Linked DNA regions of Macaca mulatta. The protein of the gene in region 1 interacts with the protein of each later gene in a pairwise test. Links are inferred from orthologs where the notes say so. Each region holds a gene or a part of one and is shown in the gene's direction. Other genes may lie near its edges.

Region 1 (4,765 bases):
CTAGGACAGCTCTCTCATGGAGTGGAGAAAACGCCCTGACATATCATATACAAATTATTGATGGTGGGAGGGATTGTAAGGGGAGAAAAAGTGTGTGGGCACACATTCAAAAATCATTTATCTTAGGCAAACACTATTAATATGAGAAAGCCATCATTTTATGTGCTTTACAGATATGAACTTGTTTAATTCTCTTAACACCTGATAGGATAATAGTAGGTACTATTATCATCGACTACATTTTACAGATGATGAAACTGAGCCAAAGAGAGGTGAAGTAACTTCCTCAAGGTCATGGAGCTAGTAGACAGATTTGGAGCAGGGATTTGAAACTGGTCAATCTGGCTCCAGAATCCATGCTTTTACTACATTATGCTGCACCATTATGGAAATTTTGGAAAATACACAGAAATAAACACGATGACCTGTATGTAGCACCACTGGCCACATCTTGCTGTATAGCTTTCCTCTCCTTTATATTCATATACCATACAGTGCATTACATATACTTCTTTTACAAGGAATCATATTCTTTATCTTGGTCTTAAAAACATTTCCCCAGGCCGGGCGCGGTGGCTCAAGCCTGTAATCCCAGCACTTTGGAAGGCCGAGATGGGTGGATCACGAGGTCAGGAGATCGAGACCATCCTGGCTAACACGGTGAAACCCCGTCTCTACTAAAAAATACAAAAAAACTAGCCGGGCGAGGTGGTGGGCGCCTATAGTCCCAGCTACTCGGGAGGCTGAGGCAGGAGAATGGCGTAAACCCGGGAGGCGGAGCTTGCAGTGAGCCGAGATCCGGCCACTGCACTCCAGCCTGGGCAACAAAGCGAGACTCCTCTCAAAAAAAAAAAAAAAAAAAAAACATTTCCCCTATCTGTTCAAAACCGTTATTTTGAATGTTGTATAATATATTTTTGTGTGGCTAAAACATTATTTAAGCAGTACCCGACTGAGGAGCACTTAAGACTGCTTCCAATGTTTCTCCATGACTGAGCTCTGCAAGAGGCAAAAGGGTAACAGGCTTTTTAAAAAACTACCTTTTGAACCCAATTAGCTACAACTGCAGAATAAAATTAACAAACGAAAAACTGCCAGGGCGGACAACCCTATGTGTAGGAGGAGACAGCAGAAGTTAGCCGCCACCACTGTTCCTCCTGCTTCCCTTCGTCTGGCGGCCCCGCGGGATTGGCCAGAGCTGGCGCCGAGGGACTGCAGAGGCCCCCGCGGCTCCTACTGCGCAAGCGTGAAAAAAGCTTGGAGGTTTCGGGGGTAGAGCGTGGGGAGTGGGGGATCTGGTGCAAATTACGGTGCGTGAAAGAAGTCACAAAAAGCGCAGAGGCGGGGCTTCCCGCCCTAATCCGGCCTTTGTCTCCGCCCCTCCGCCTTTGTTTCGGCCCGAAGCGTCTTATTGGTCAGACATCTTCAGCCCCATTGGTCCAAGAGCCAAAGGACAGGGTCTGCCCCGAGCTGTGCCTGCTTCCGGAGCCTCAATAAGAACGGTCAATTGAGATGCGGCTTTCAGGCATTTGTTTAGGACATGCCCATGGCGGTGTAAGGGGGCTTGAACGGCAACTGGAGTAGTTCAGAGTTCAACAACAAGCTTCCAAGATGCCGCCCAAAGGAAAAAGTGGTTCTGGAAAAGCGGGGAAAGGTAGAGCGGCCAGAGCGATCCAGGAGAATGGGGGCGGGTGAGGAGCGAAGGGAGGGAACAGACAGTCCATCTCCGGAGTCCGGGACGAATGCAGCAGGTAGCCAGTGGCCCCACAGTGGCCCCATCGATTCCATCTGTAGGAATACATTGGGCTACGGTTCAGGGAGCGCCCTGATGGGTAATGGAATCTGGTGGGGATAGTTCCTCGGAGGCGATGACTTTAGGGCTGCTATTTTGAGGGGTTATTAGAGCTCTAAAATTGGGTCTTATCAAAAGCCAGTAATAAGAAGTACACATTGATTATGGTCCTTAAAGTTCACTTTAGTGCTTACAGAATGACATGCCCTCCATCGGGGAAGGAATCATTCATCCATTGAACAGAAATGTGCCAGGCACAGTGCTAAGCGCTGAGGATATAAAAATAAGACAGAGGGCTGGGTGCGGTGGCTCACGCCTATAATCCCAGCACTTTGGGAGGCCGAGGGAGAGTGGATCACGAGGTCAGAAGTTCGAGACCAACCTGGCCAACATGGCGAAACCCCGTCTCTACTAAAAATACAAAAATTCGCCAGGCATGGTGGTGCACGCCTGTAATCCCAGCTACTCGGGAGGCTGAGGCAGGAGAATCGCTTAAACCCAGGAGGCAGAGGTTGCAATTGAACCGAGATCGTGCCACTGCACTCCAGCCTGGGCGACAGTGCGAGCCTCTGTCTCAAAAAAAAAAAAAAAAAAAAAAGATTTTGGCCTTAAGGAGCTCCCGAAGATAAAGGCTTAGTGATCATAAAGCACTGTACTAAATGTAGTGTTGAGGGATGTGTATGGGATATAATAGAAATTGAGAGAAGTGCTTCATTTAGCTGGGGAACAGGGCTTCCTGGAGACGAATTAGGCAGAGGTCAAGATGAGCATTGAGGGTAGGTTAAAGCATTCCTAACTTGGGGTCCAGCAGCAAAAGCACTGAGGTGGGAAACAGCATGATGTGAGCAGTGTAGTGTTGCTGGAGCAAAAACTCAAGGCAGAATGGCAAGTGGTGAGAATGAAAACAGAAACAGAGACCAGATCATGGAGAGTGCTATATGTGGTGCTAAAAAGGACTGTTAAGGATCAGAAAGACCTGTAAGGAGATTGTTGTGGTAGTCTTGGTGAGAGATGATGGTGGACTGACCTAAGGCAGTGGCTGTGGGAACTGAGAAAAGAGAAAAGATTCTGTAAACATTAGGATGTGAAATAGTCAAGACTTAGTGATTTATTGGGTTGGGGAGGGGTGGTGAGGGAGGATCAACGATCATTCTGTTTTCTGGATTGGATTTCTAACCTGTTGCAGGTCCTGCAGGCTAACATCAAGGATACATGAGGAGCAGGGATGAGACTGATGAATTCACTTTCAGATAGATTGGCTTTGAGGTGTCTGTGGGACATCTCAGTGGAGATGTAGTCAGGAAGTGGTTGAATATTTGAGTCTGAAGTTTGAGGGAGAGGTCTAGACTGTACATGTAAGTTTTAGGAGTCATTAACTTATAGATGGTAGTTGCGCCCATTAGAGTGTATGCAGTTATCCATGGTGAGTTTATAGAATTAAAAGAGCAGAGAGCAGAGGATGTGATCTAGGACAGGCAGAGAAAGGCAGACAGATAGAGGGAGTGCAGAATGGTGGCCAGAGGCAGGAGAGACCAGAATGTTTTAAAGAGAGAGGGTATAGTCTATCAAGCACGGCAGATTTGGAAATTAGAGGTGGCCTTGGGTAAAAGTGATTTCAGTGAAACAAAAGCCAGATTGCAGTGACTATAGAACTGACTGGGAAGTGGTAATTTGGACTTCTTGAAAAGTTTTAATTGAAAAGCATGGAAATGGGATGGTAGATAGAGGAGGACAGAGGATTAAGAGAAAGTTTTATTTTCTTTGCTTCTTTGGAATGGGGAAAACTTGGGAGTGAAGCTGAAGGATCCAGTAAAGTAAAAGAGGTAAAGGTACAGAGGAGTGAGATTTAGGAGAAAATGGAATCCAGGACCTAAGGGGAGCAGGGACACCTTATGCTTGAGGTCATAGGAAAGGAGATGGAGGGGCAGGGAGTCAGTAGGCATCTTGAGGAGAGTGATAAAGGTCTGGAATATTGTAATGGGAGATGGAATGAAACAAAAGTAAAAGAAGTGCCCTCAGGGCTAGGAGCCTGACTGAGATCAAAGGCCATGAATTTGTAGACTACATAATATTCACAGTCTGATTTACGTGGTACCATGCAACTGGCACAATATAGGATTGAAAAGAGCTAGGTGCAGCCTTAAGCCGTGGTTGAGGTTTTGTTAGGCAGTTATGATAGGACGATAGCAACACAAGGGAATTACAAGGGCCAGTGGGAATGCAGTTCAGATGAACGAGCATGGGGTCCAGAGTGGGAAGGTGAAAAGAGGTCTGGTGGTCTAGGTGAATGTAGCAGGACAAAGGGACTGGGGTCGAGGGGGAGGTTCTGTGAAGTCAGAGAGCCAGTACTGTGGGAATGAGACATGAGAAAGCTGGAAGGACAGGAGGTTATAGCCAGAGACTGAACTAGTTCTGAGTGGCACAGTTGCATTGTGTGCCCCCGGGGCCGGTAGCTTGGAGTAGAGAGCATGACATTCGGGAAAGAGACCTAGAACTGTGAGATTCCTCAAGATAGATGGTGAGGTCACTCAAGGTAATGGCAGGAGTGAGGGTGGAGAGGAAGCCCAAAGCTGTTGCCAGAGTCCTTAGGAAATCAAAGGCAGTGAGGTGGCAGTCAGAAGATGACAGCATCCAGTGGGGAAGAGGATGGGATAACTGGAAGGCATCATCATTCAAGAGCGGATCTACAGCAAACCCAGTTAGGAGTTTGATTTAATAACACTCCTTTGGCAGTAGCATTTTCTTAGGGTTTTGGTAGTCAGTATTTGGGGATTTCAGTTTAATCAAACATTTATTAAAATACCTTTTGTGTGCCAGGCATTGTGGTAGGCTTGGAGATACTAAGACAAGCAAGATGGACACTCCTGCTTAAAACTTTTCAATGGCTCCCTATTACGTCTAAGATAAATCCCAAGCTCCTTAATGGGGCCAAAAGGCCTCAATGACCTGACCCTCAGCTACCTCCCTCAGGCA
Region 2 (4,662 bases), on another chromosome or scaffold:
ACAACCCCTACACACTCCCCTACACCATCCACACACACCCCCTACACACTCCCCTACACCATCCACACACACCCCCCTACACACTCCCCTACACCATCCACACACACTCCCTGCACACAATCCCTACACACTCCCCTACACACTCCCTGCAAACACCCCCTACACACTCCCCTACACCATCCACACACACCCCCTACACACTCCCCTACACCATCCACACACACTGCCTGCACACAACCCCTACACACTCCCCTACACACTCCCTGCACACACCCCCTACACACTCCCCTACACCATCCACACACACCCCCTACACACTCCCCTACACCATCCACACACTCCCTGCACACATTCTGAGTACACTTACTGCACACCCCGTGTACAACCTCTGCACACACCCCCTACACACTCCCCTACACCATCCACACACACTCCCTGCACACACCCCCTTACACACTCCCCTACACCATCTGCACACAACCCAGTGTACAGCCCCTGCACACACCCTCTATACACACTCTGTGCACACACACCCGTGTACACCCTCTACACATATCCCTACACACTTCCTGTGTACACCCTCTGTGTATACCCTCATCTACTACCACCATACGTACCCCCACTACCCTGCCTTGTGTATGACTCCCCAGGCTGTGAAATACCAGGGACGTTGCCAATGAGCTGGTCTAATCTGAGGTGAGGGTTTCTGGGTGCCCCCTAGACACCAGGAGAAAGGCAGGGAGGGGACACCCCTAGGGCTTTGGACTCACTCCATGAGGCGCTGGGTCACAGTGGTACAGTGACACAGTAGATGTCCTGAGCGGGATTAAAGTCTTCCCAATGAACAGGCTGAACTCTGTCTTCCTTGAAAGCTCTGTAGAAGGACCTCACAGGGATAAACACAGGGAGACCCTCCAGGGCGCGGTCAGCCATGAGCCACAACGCTGGGCCGGTGACATCTCTGGAGGTTCTGGGGTGCAGAAAGACCGGCTGTGGGGAGTGACTGGCTGGGGAGCAGCTCAGCTCCCGCCCACCTCTGCGAGGCCCGGGGCTGGACGGGAGGTGCAGCAGACAAGGCCCCGGGCGGGTACTGGGGGGTCTGGAGGGGTCCCTGCGTGGGGGTCGGGTGGCGGGGAGTCTAAGAGAGTCGGGGATCCCCGGGGCGCGGGGTTCAGGGTGGGAGCGGAGTGTGAATGGGGAAGGGTCCCCATGCGCACCAGCAGCCGCGATTCCACCGCGCCTACTCGGGCTTTCCCCGGGAGGACACGGCGTGTGTCAAGGACCCGGGCCTAGAAGGCGGCAGCGCCCAGGGAAGCCTAGACGCGGCGCTATCTGGGGCGGGGGCTGGGGTGGCGGAGCCAAGTGCCTGGGAGAACCGCCATTCAGGAGCCCCTCCCGGCCAGGCTCTTGGTTCCGCCCACGCAGGTCCCGCCCCCTAGCCCGGCCCCTCTCCCCGCCCCGCCGCGCAGGCCCCGCCCCGTCCCGCCAGACTCTTGGTTCTGCCCACGCAGGTCCCGCCCCTCTCTTAGCCTTGCCCCGCCCGCCGCGCAGGCGCCGTCCGAGGGCTTCGTTTGAAACATGGCGCGGGCTGGTCCGCGGCTGGTGCTGAGCGAGGAGGCGGTCCGGGCGAAGAGCGGACTAGGGCCTCACCGCGACCTGGGTGCGCCAGCGGGCGGGGGTGCAAGCGTGAGGGTGGCGGGGGGTGGGTACCGAGCTTCCCGGGGCGGCCGCGCCTGGTTGCCTGGGCGGCAGACCGTGGGCAGGTGGGGCTCCTCTGCGCAGGCGCCGCGGGCGTCCGGAACGGTCTCGGGCGGGAGGGCGGGGCGCGCGCGCCCAGGTGAGGACCCCGCCCCTCGTGCCCAGGTGCGGCCCCTGCCCGCGTTCTGGTCCCGGAGTCGCGGCTCCTGCTTGTCTATCGGGTCATTGTGGTACCGTGACTGGCGGTTATATCCGCTGAGGAGAGAGAGCCAGCCTTGCTCTCCAGGAGCGCAGCCCGCCCTCCCGCTGGGGACCCCTCTCCCGGGTTCTCCTGGGCCCATTATGCTGATTGTTGGGCTTGGCCTTCTTGAGGATGTTGGTGGCCGGTTGCCTTCTTTTTGGCCTGTTTTTGTCTGGTTTTGGCGTCAGGGGGAAGCCGAGCTCATAAACTGTTGAGAAGTGTTGTGTTCTCATATTTAGAAGAGGTTCTGTAGAGTTTGTGCTCATTGTTTGAATGTTTTGTGGAATTTTCCAGTGAAACCATATGGACATGTCAATTTCTGGTTTTGAAGCTTTTAAATGACCAATTCTGTATCTCTGGTTGTCAGAGAACCGTTCGTATTATTAGTTCACCTTGAGTCTTGGCTGTGTGGGGTTTTGCGGAGTTGGCTTATTTGAGCTAACTTGTGGAGTGTGTGTGCAGAGTTGTTCCTGGGGTTCTGTTCTTAGCCTGTGAATGTCTCTGTGTGGTCTGCAGGTGTAACTGGACCAACAGGTTCAGTCAGGTGCTGTGGGGCCACAGGCCAATACACTGAGACAGCAGGGTTTGCAGCAGAGAAAGAGTTTAATGCTGGCAGGAGCCCAGCAGGGAGGTGGAAGGAGGCCTCAATCCATCTCCCCAAGGAGATCTGAGCTGGGTTTTTTGGTTTTTTTTGAGACGGAGTCTCACTCTGTCGTCCAGGCTGGAGTGCAGTTGCATAATCTCAGCTCATTGCAACCTCCACCTCCCAGGTTCAAGTGATTCTCCTGCCTCAGCCTCCTGAGTAGCTGGGATTACAAGCGCACGCCACCAAGCCCGGCTAATTTTTTGTATATTTAGTAGAGACAGTGTTTCACCATGTTGGCCAGGCTGGTCTTGAGCTCCTGATCTCAGGTGATCCACCTGCCTTGGCTTCCCAAAGTGCTGGGATTACAGGCATGAGCCACCACGCCCAGCCTGAGCTGGGGTCTTGAAAGGAACAGGATTGTTAGGAGCTGGAAAATTGATGTTGTCAGTTGGTCGAGGTAAGGGCCATGGAATTATCAGGGTGTGGAAACTGCATTCTTTGGTGAATCCGCTTGTGGGGTCCTTTAGACCAGATGGCATCAGTCCCCAGGTCCTCAAAGAATATCTCAAATGGAAAACTTAATGTTTTATAATGTCCAATAATCTGTAGAGTAGTTCTCTGTAGAGTGGTTAAGGGGAACAGTAACATCGTGACAAAGTCCATGTGATCCTGAGGCAGTGATTTCTGATTTTTAAAATTTCGTTCTTTCTGCTTGCTTTGCATTTATTTTATACTTTTTCTAGATTCTTGAGGCAAAAATGTAGATGATTGGTTTGAGACTCTTATTTTCTATTATAAATAGTGCCACAAGTTTCTCTCTAAGCACTACTTTATCTGTATCCACAAATTTTGTTATGTTATATTTTAATTTTCATGCAGTTCAGCATATTTTAAGAATTTCCCTCGATACTTCCTGTTTGACATGTGGTTTTATTTATTTATTTATTTTTATACGGAGTCTTGCTCTGTCACCCAGTCTGGAGTGCAGTGGCACAATCTTGGCTCACTGACAGCTTTTTTTTTTTTATGTTTATGCCATTCTTCTGCCTCAGCCTCCTGAGTAGCTGAGACTACAGGCGCTCCCTACCACGCCTGGCTAATTTTTTTTATTTTTTATTTTTTAGTAGAGACGGGGTTTCACTGTGTTAGCCAGGATGGTCTCAATCTCCTGACCTTGTGATCTGCCCGCCTCTGCCTCCCAAAGTGCTGGGATTACGGATGTGAGCCACCGTGCCTGGCCTGACCTGTGGATTTTTAAGGAGTATGTTTTTAAGGTTCCATGTGTTTGGAGATTTTCCTGTTATTTTTCTGTGTGATTACATTATGGCTAGAGCATAATCTGTATGATTTTAATTCTTTTAAATTTGTCAGGGTTTGTTTTATGATCCAGCATCTGGTCTATATTGTTGAATGTTCCTGCCTTAGCCTCCCAAGTAGCTGGGACTACAGGTGCCCACCACCATGCCCAGCTAATTTTTTGTATTTTTTTAGTAGAGATGGGGTTTCACCGTGTTAGCCAGGATGGTCTCGATCTCCTGACCTTGTGATCCGCCTGCCTCTGCCTCCCGAAGTGCTGGAATTACAGGCGTGAGCCACTGTGCCTGGCCTTCTTTACAGTTTTACGGTTTTCATCTGTCATCTCCATTTTGCTATTAAACTGCTCTTGTGATCTGTATGTTTCTCTGTTCTGTTATTTTTTCTTCATTCCATGATGCTCTAGGTTTCTTTCTTTTGTCTTTCCTTTATATTTGAAAAAATGTCTTCAGCGATTGTCTTAGGGCCGGTCTGCTTGTGACAGGTTCTCTTAGTTTTTCTTTAGAGTTTTTTTTTTTTTCTTGAATGTGTGTGTATTCTGTTGTTGAGTGGACTGTTATGTAAATACATAAATATCAATTAGATCCTGTTTGTTGATGGTATTGTTCAATTCTTCTGTATCCTTGCTGATTTTCTGTCTAGTGACTCTATTAATGACTGAGAGAGGGGTCTTGAACCCTTAACTGTACTTGTGGATTTGTCTATTTCTTTTTTCACTTTATATGTTTTGAAGCCCTGTTATTTGTTGAATTGAATATCTAGGATTTTTATATCTTCTTAGTGGACTGACCCTTTTAGTATATGTAGTCTTCCACTTTTTTTT
Region 3 (4,623 bases), on another chromosome or scaffold:
AGCCCCTCCTTGGCACCCCCTCTTCCCTGACTGCTGTCCCCTACCCAGCCTTGCTCCCTTCATCCTTTTGCGTTTGGTATTGAGACTCTCCTAGACTCTACTCTTTCTTTTGTATGGACAGTTTCCCTTCAGTCCCATCCCCCCACACATACACCCAGCCGGGGCCAAATTTATACTTATATAAAAGTTGTAAATATGTGAAATTTTATCCCTGTGCCCTTTCCCCACCTCAGGCCCTAGCCCTGGACCCTCCCCAACCTTCCTTCTCTCTTCTTTGGCTGTTGTAATTATCTGGGGTTTGTACTGTACATATCCGGGGTGTGTGTGTGTGGGCTGGGGGCAACCCTTCTGTACAGAGCTTCCTGGCCCCCTCCCCCCCCGCCCCTCTGCTTCCCTCCCCACCCACTACCTTAAGGGTAGGGAGATGCTCTTCCTACCTGTTTTATTTTGTTTTCTCGTTCTCCCTCCCCACCCCACTCCCAGCCTTATCTATCCCCCCCTCGCTGTCCCCTTTTCTCCACTCCCAGCCCCATTTCCTTTTTTTCTGGAGTGTGTGGTGAAACAGAAAAAAACATGTTTAATAAACGGAGATTGTTCTTTTATCGCTGTGCCGACTTTCTTAGGCAGGGCTCTCCAGACAGACCTGTACGGTGGTAAGATCTGCTTTCTGAAAGGAAGCTGACAGCCTGAGAGGAAAACCGTACATCCCCACCTGATGCCACACTCTCCTCATAAAATGTCACTCTCCCCTCCCAATGAGAGTTTTTATATTTTAGAGCAGGAGTTTTGCACTGGCCAAACTTCTCCAGTCTCTCCCTCCCCTCACCACTGTGTCACTTAGTCTGAGGCCAGGAACAGCGGCGTTATCTGATAAAAGAATTCATGTATATATCCACATTTATCTCTTTTAAAAATCACCTAGAAGTAAGGTTTCTTTAATTGCTGGTTAAAATGCTCCTGTGCAGAACAGAGGAAAGAACCTGCCTAGTTCCTTAGCAAATCTGAGATCCAGTCCCAGGTCCACTACTATTAACTGAGTGACGCTTCCAGCCCGTTTCCCCCGCCTGGAAACTGAGGACGGCAACCCCCATCCTCGCAGGGCCGGTGGGAGGACACAAGGTGATGTGGGCAAGTGCCAGGCCCACATGGTAAGTGCCCAACTAATCTTGCCCCTCTCAGGACCTACCGGGGGCGGGTGCTACACTTAATCACCGGGAAACGCAGCTTTCCGGGGCGGCTGACGGCCCGCCCCCTCCGACCGGTCTGTTCTCTCCTGGGACCTGGCTCTCGGTCCTCTGTAGCGGCGAGGACTTCGGCAGCTACCCCAGACGCCCGATACGCTGGCACCCTGAGCCAGCGCCCTCCTACTAGCACCGCCCTCCTCGTCTGCGGTAGCCAGTCAACACGAGGCTTGTAGGCTGCCCTTCCTCGATTGGCTACGCCTCTAGCTCCGCCCGCCGCACTTTGCGACGGCGTCCGGCGGGGAGGCGGCGGCTTCCGGCCTGGGACGGAGCTGTAGCGGCACTGTAGCTGCGAGGGCAGCGCCGCGTGTGTAACGGCGGGGGCGTGTCGGCGGGAAGGACAGCCGGGCCGGGACTCCCGGTGTCCGGGTGACCGCGGTTTCCCGGGAGCAGACCTCTGTGGGCACTGTGAGGCGGAACGGAGCGGCGGGGCAGGAGCTGTTCTGGGCAGGTGAAGACAGGCTCGTGGCTGAAGGACCTCCTTCGCATCTTCCACGGGGGCTGGAAGTTACAACCCCGGTTGGTGTTTGGTGGTGGTGGTGGTTTGTTTGTTTTTCTTTCTTGGTGTGCTGGACTGATTTGCAGAAACCGCCACTGACTTAAAAGTTTCCAGTTATTGCTCGTGGGGGGAGGGAGTTGTTTGAAGAGATGTGGCTCCCTTTATCCAGGGCTTCTGTGACCTCCATCTTTTTCCTTTGCAGCCTTCATCCCGCGTAGAGTCTACCCCCAGGCCCCTCTCGTCTTCCCAATTCTTCTCACCTTCGAGGAGGCCATGGAAACCCCAACGCCTTTGCCGCCCGTACCCGCCTCCCCGACCTGCAACCCAGCCCCACGGACAATCCAGATCGAGTTTCCGCAGCATAGCTCATCGCTACTGGAATCTCTGAACCGCCACAGGCTAGAGGGAAAGTTCTGTGATGTGTCCCTCCTGGTGCAGGGCCGGGAACTTAGGGCTCATAAAGCAGTGTTGGCTGCTGCCTCTCCTTACTTCCATGACAAGCTGCTTCTGGGGGATGCACCTCGTCTCACTCTGCCGAGTGTCATTGAAGCCGATGCCTTCGAAGGGCTGCTCCAGCTCATTTATTCAGGGCGTCTCCGCCTACCACTGGATGCTCTTCCTGCTCATCTCCTTGTGGCCAGTGGCCTTCAAATGTGGCAAGTAGTAGATCAGTGCTCAGAGATTCTTAGAGAATTAGAAACTTCAGGTGGTGGAATTTCAGCCCGTGGAGCAAACTCCTACCATGCCCTTCTTTCCACTACATCCTCTACAGGAGGCTGGTGCATTCGCTCTTCGCCTTTCCAGACTCCAGTACAGTCCTCTGCTTCCACTGAAAGCCCTGCTTCCACTGAGAGCCCTGTGGGAGGGGAGGGAAGTGAACTGGGAGAAGTGCTGCAAATTCAGGTAGAAGAAGAAGAGGAGGAGGAGGAAGAAGATGATGATGAGGACCAGGGGTCAGCCACACTCTCTCAGACTCCTCAGCCCCAGAGAGTATCAGGGGTTTTTCCCCGTCCTCATGGACCCCACCCACTGCCCGTGACTGCTACTCCCCGAAAGCTTCCAGAGGGTGAGAGTGCACCAGTTGAGCTTCCTGCCCCTCCTACTGCGCTGCCCCCTAAAATCTTCTACATTAAGCAGGAACCCTTCGAGCCTAAGGAGGAGATATCAGGAAGTGGAACTCAGCCTGGAGGAGCAAAGGAGGAAACCAAAGTGTTTTCTGGAGGGGACACTGAAGGGAATGGGGAGCTAGGGTTCTTGTTGCCTTCAGGGGCAGGGCCAACATCTGGGGGAGGGGGTCCATCCTGGAAACCAGTGGATCTTCATGGGAATGAAATCCTGTCAGGGGGAGGAGGACCTGGGGGAGCAGGCCAGGCTGTTCATGGGCCTGTGAAGCTAGGGGGAACACCCCCTGCAGATGGAAAACGCTTTGGTTGCCTGTGTGGGAAGCGGTTTGCAGTGAAGCCAAAGCGTGACCGGCACATCATGCTGACCTTCAGCCTTCGGCCTTTTGGCTGTGGCGTCTGCAACAAGCGCTTCAAGCTGAAGCACCATCTGACAGAGCACATGAAGACCCATGCTGGAGCCCTGCATGCCTGTCCCCACTGTGGCCGTCGTTTCCGAGTCCATGCCTGTTTTCTCCGCCACCGGGACCTGTGCAAGGGCCAGGGCTGGGCCACTGCCCACTGGACTTACAAGTGACTGCTGAGGCTATATACTAGCTTCTAGAATGAAATAACCACTGCTGCTGATGGGTACTTTTCCCTCACTACCATGGCACACCAGTCATGGATCTTGTAATCATGCCAAGAGAATAGATACATTGATACATTATGGACCTCTTGTTTTAAGATATGGGCCTCTCAGCCTGGCAGATGTGGAAACTCAAATTTCTCATCCCACTCCAGGTTTTGGCTAGCCAACCCTGCAGGAAAGCAGTTTATAGGCCATTCATACTTAAGTTGATCACTTGCCCATGGTGGACATTTTTGTAGTGGTGATGTCCATTAAGGAAACCAGATTTTCAATTATTTAGTGAGAGAAGAATTAGAGCAAAAGACAGTGGTAAATGTTTTATTCCGTCTCCATGAGGAATTAAAGGAGTTGGTCTCCACCTACGGATACATTTGATTTAGAGCTTGAGTAATTCAGAGGCTAAGCTCTAAACTTTTTTCTCTCTCATTGCTGGAATGATTTAAGCAGAATTCCTTTTGTGTACTTTTAAAATTGTATCTTTCCAGGAGCCCCTCAGATTGTACCTTGCTTTCTCACCAGTAGACACCTTTCCAACACTTTTTTAATGTTGTAGTTGAGCACTTTAACAAGTTGAGCATTCCATGTTTCATTCTTAGAACCTTCTTTAATAGAGGGTATTCCCTCAACAGCCTGTGCCTCTGGTCTACCTTTGACCACCACTGGTAACTCATATATTGGTCACAATGACTGGAATGTGACTAGTGATCTCAGGAGATGGCACTGTCCTAAAGTGCTCTCAGGGTGGCACCACTGCTCTCTGAACAAGTTGCCTTGGTCAGAGGGACTCAGGTTTGGGACAGCACAAGCTGAAGGCTGGCGAGTAACTTGCATAATAGGACCATACCTCTTCCTTTCCCATCCCACCCACATATGATAGACAGCCCCTCTGTGGAGATACGGAGGGGATAGATATTGGAATTGGGTGTGGGACTTGCAGTTACTTAAAATTTTTGAATAAACTGTGCCCTGAAACCTAAACTGATAGTGGACTGGATTGAGTAATTTGTGTGGGGGAGAGAGTGAGAACGGAGCTGCAGAGCCTTGGATGTGTTCCTTAGGTGGCTAGGTTATGTTGATGGGGAAGGAATGGGATGGTTTCACACTGGTGCCAAGAACACTCTTCTGGACTTA

The links.
Region 2: the proteins of PIN4 (region 1) and CEP72 interact in binary tests that used the Homo sapiens proteins (3 or more experiments, as listed by UniProt). The two-hybrid records come from large-scale screens. The link is inferred for Macaca mulatta from reciprocal best matches to the Homo sapiens genes PIN4 and CEP72.
Region 3: the proteins of PIN4 (region 1) and ZBTB9 interact in binary tests that used the Homo sapiens proteins (3 or more experiments, as listed by UniProt). The two-hybrid records come from large-scale screens. The link is inferred for Macaca mulatta from reciprocal best matches to the Homo sapiens genes PIN4 and ZBTB9.

Annotation. Positions count from the first base shown.
Region 1 is NC_133426.1:78,727,297-78,732,061, forward strand, and holds the start of PIN4 (peptidyl-prolyl cis-trans isomerase NIMA-interacting 4), read left to right. Parts: upstream 1-1,582; 5' UTR 1,583-1,611; coding exon 1,612-1,654; intron 1,655-4,765.
Region 2 is NC_133411.1:1,701,624-1,706,285, forward strand, and holds the start of CEP72 (centrosomal protein of 72 kDa), read left to right. Parts: upstream 1-1,531; 5' UTR 1,532-1,578; coding exon 1,579-1,660; intron 1,661-4,662. UniProt on the Homo sapiens protein: Involved in the recruitment of key centrosomal proteins to the centrosome.
Region 3 is NC_133409.1:148,823,181-148,827,803, reverse strand, and holds ZBTB9 (zinc finger and BTB domain-containing protein 9), read left to right. Parts: upstream 1-1,492; 5' UTR 1,493-1,692; exon of another isoform or gene 1,693-1,760; intron 1,761-1,942; 5' UTR 1,943-2,013; coding exon 2,014-3,438; 3' UTR 3,439-4,470; downstream 4,471-4,623. UniProt on the Homo sapiens protein: May be involved in transcriptional regulation.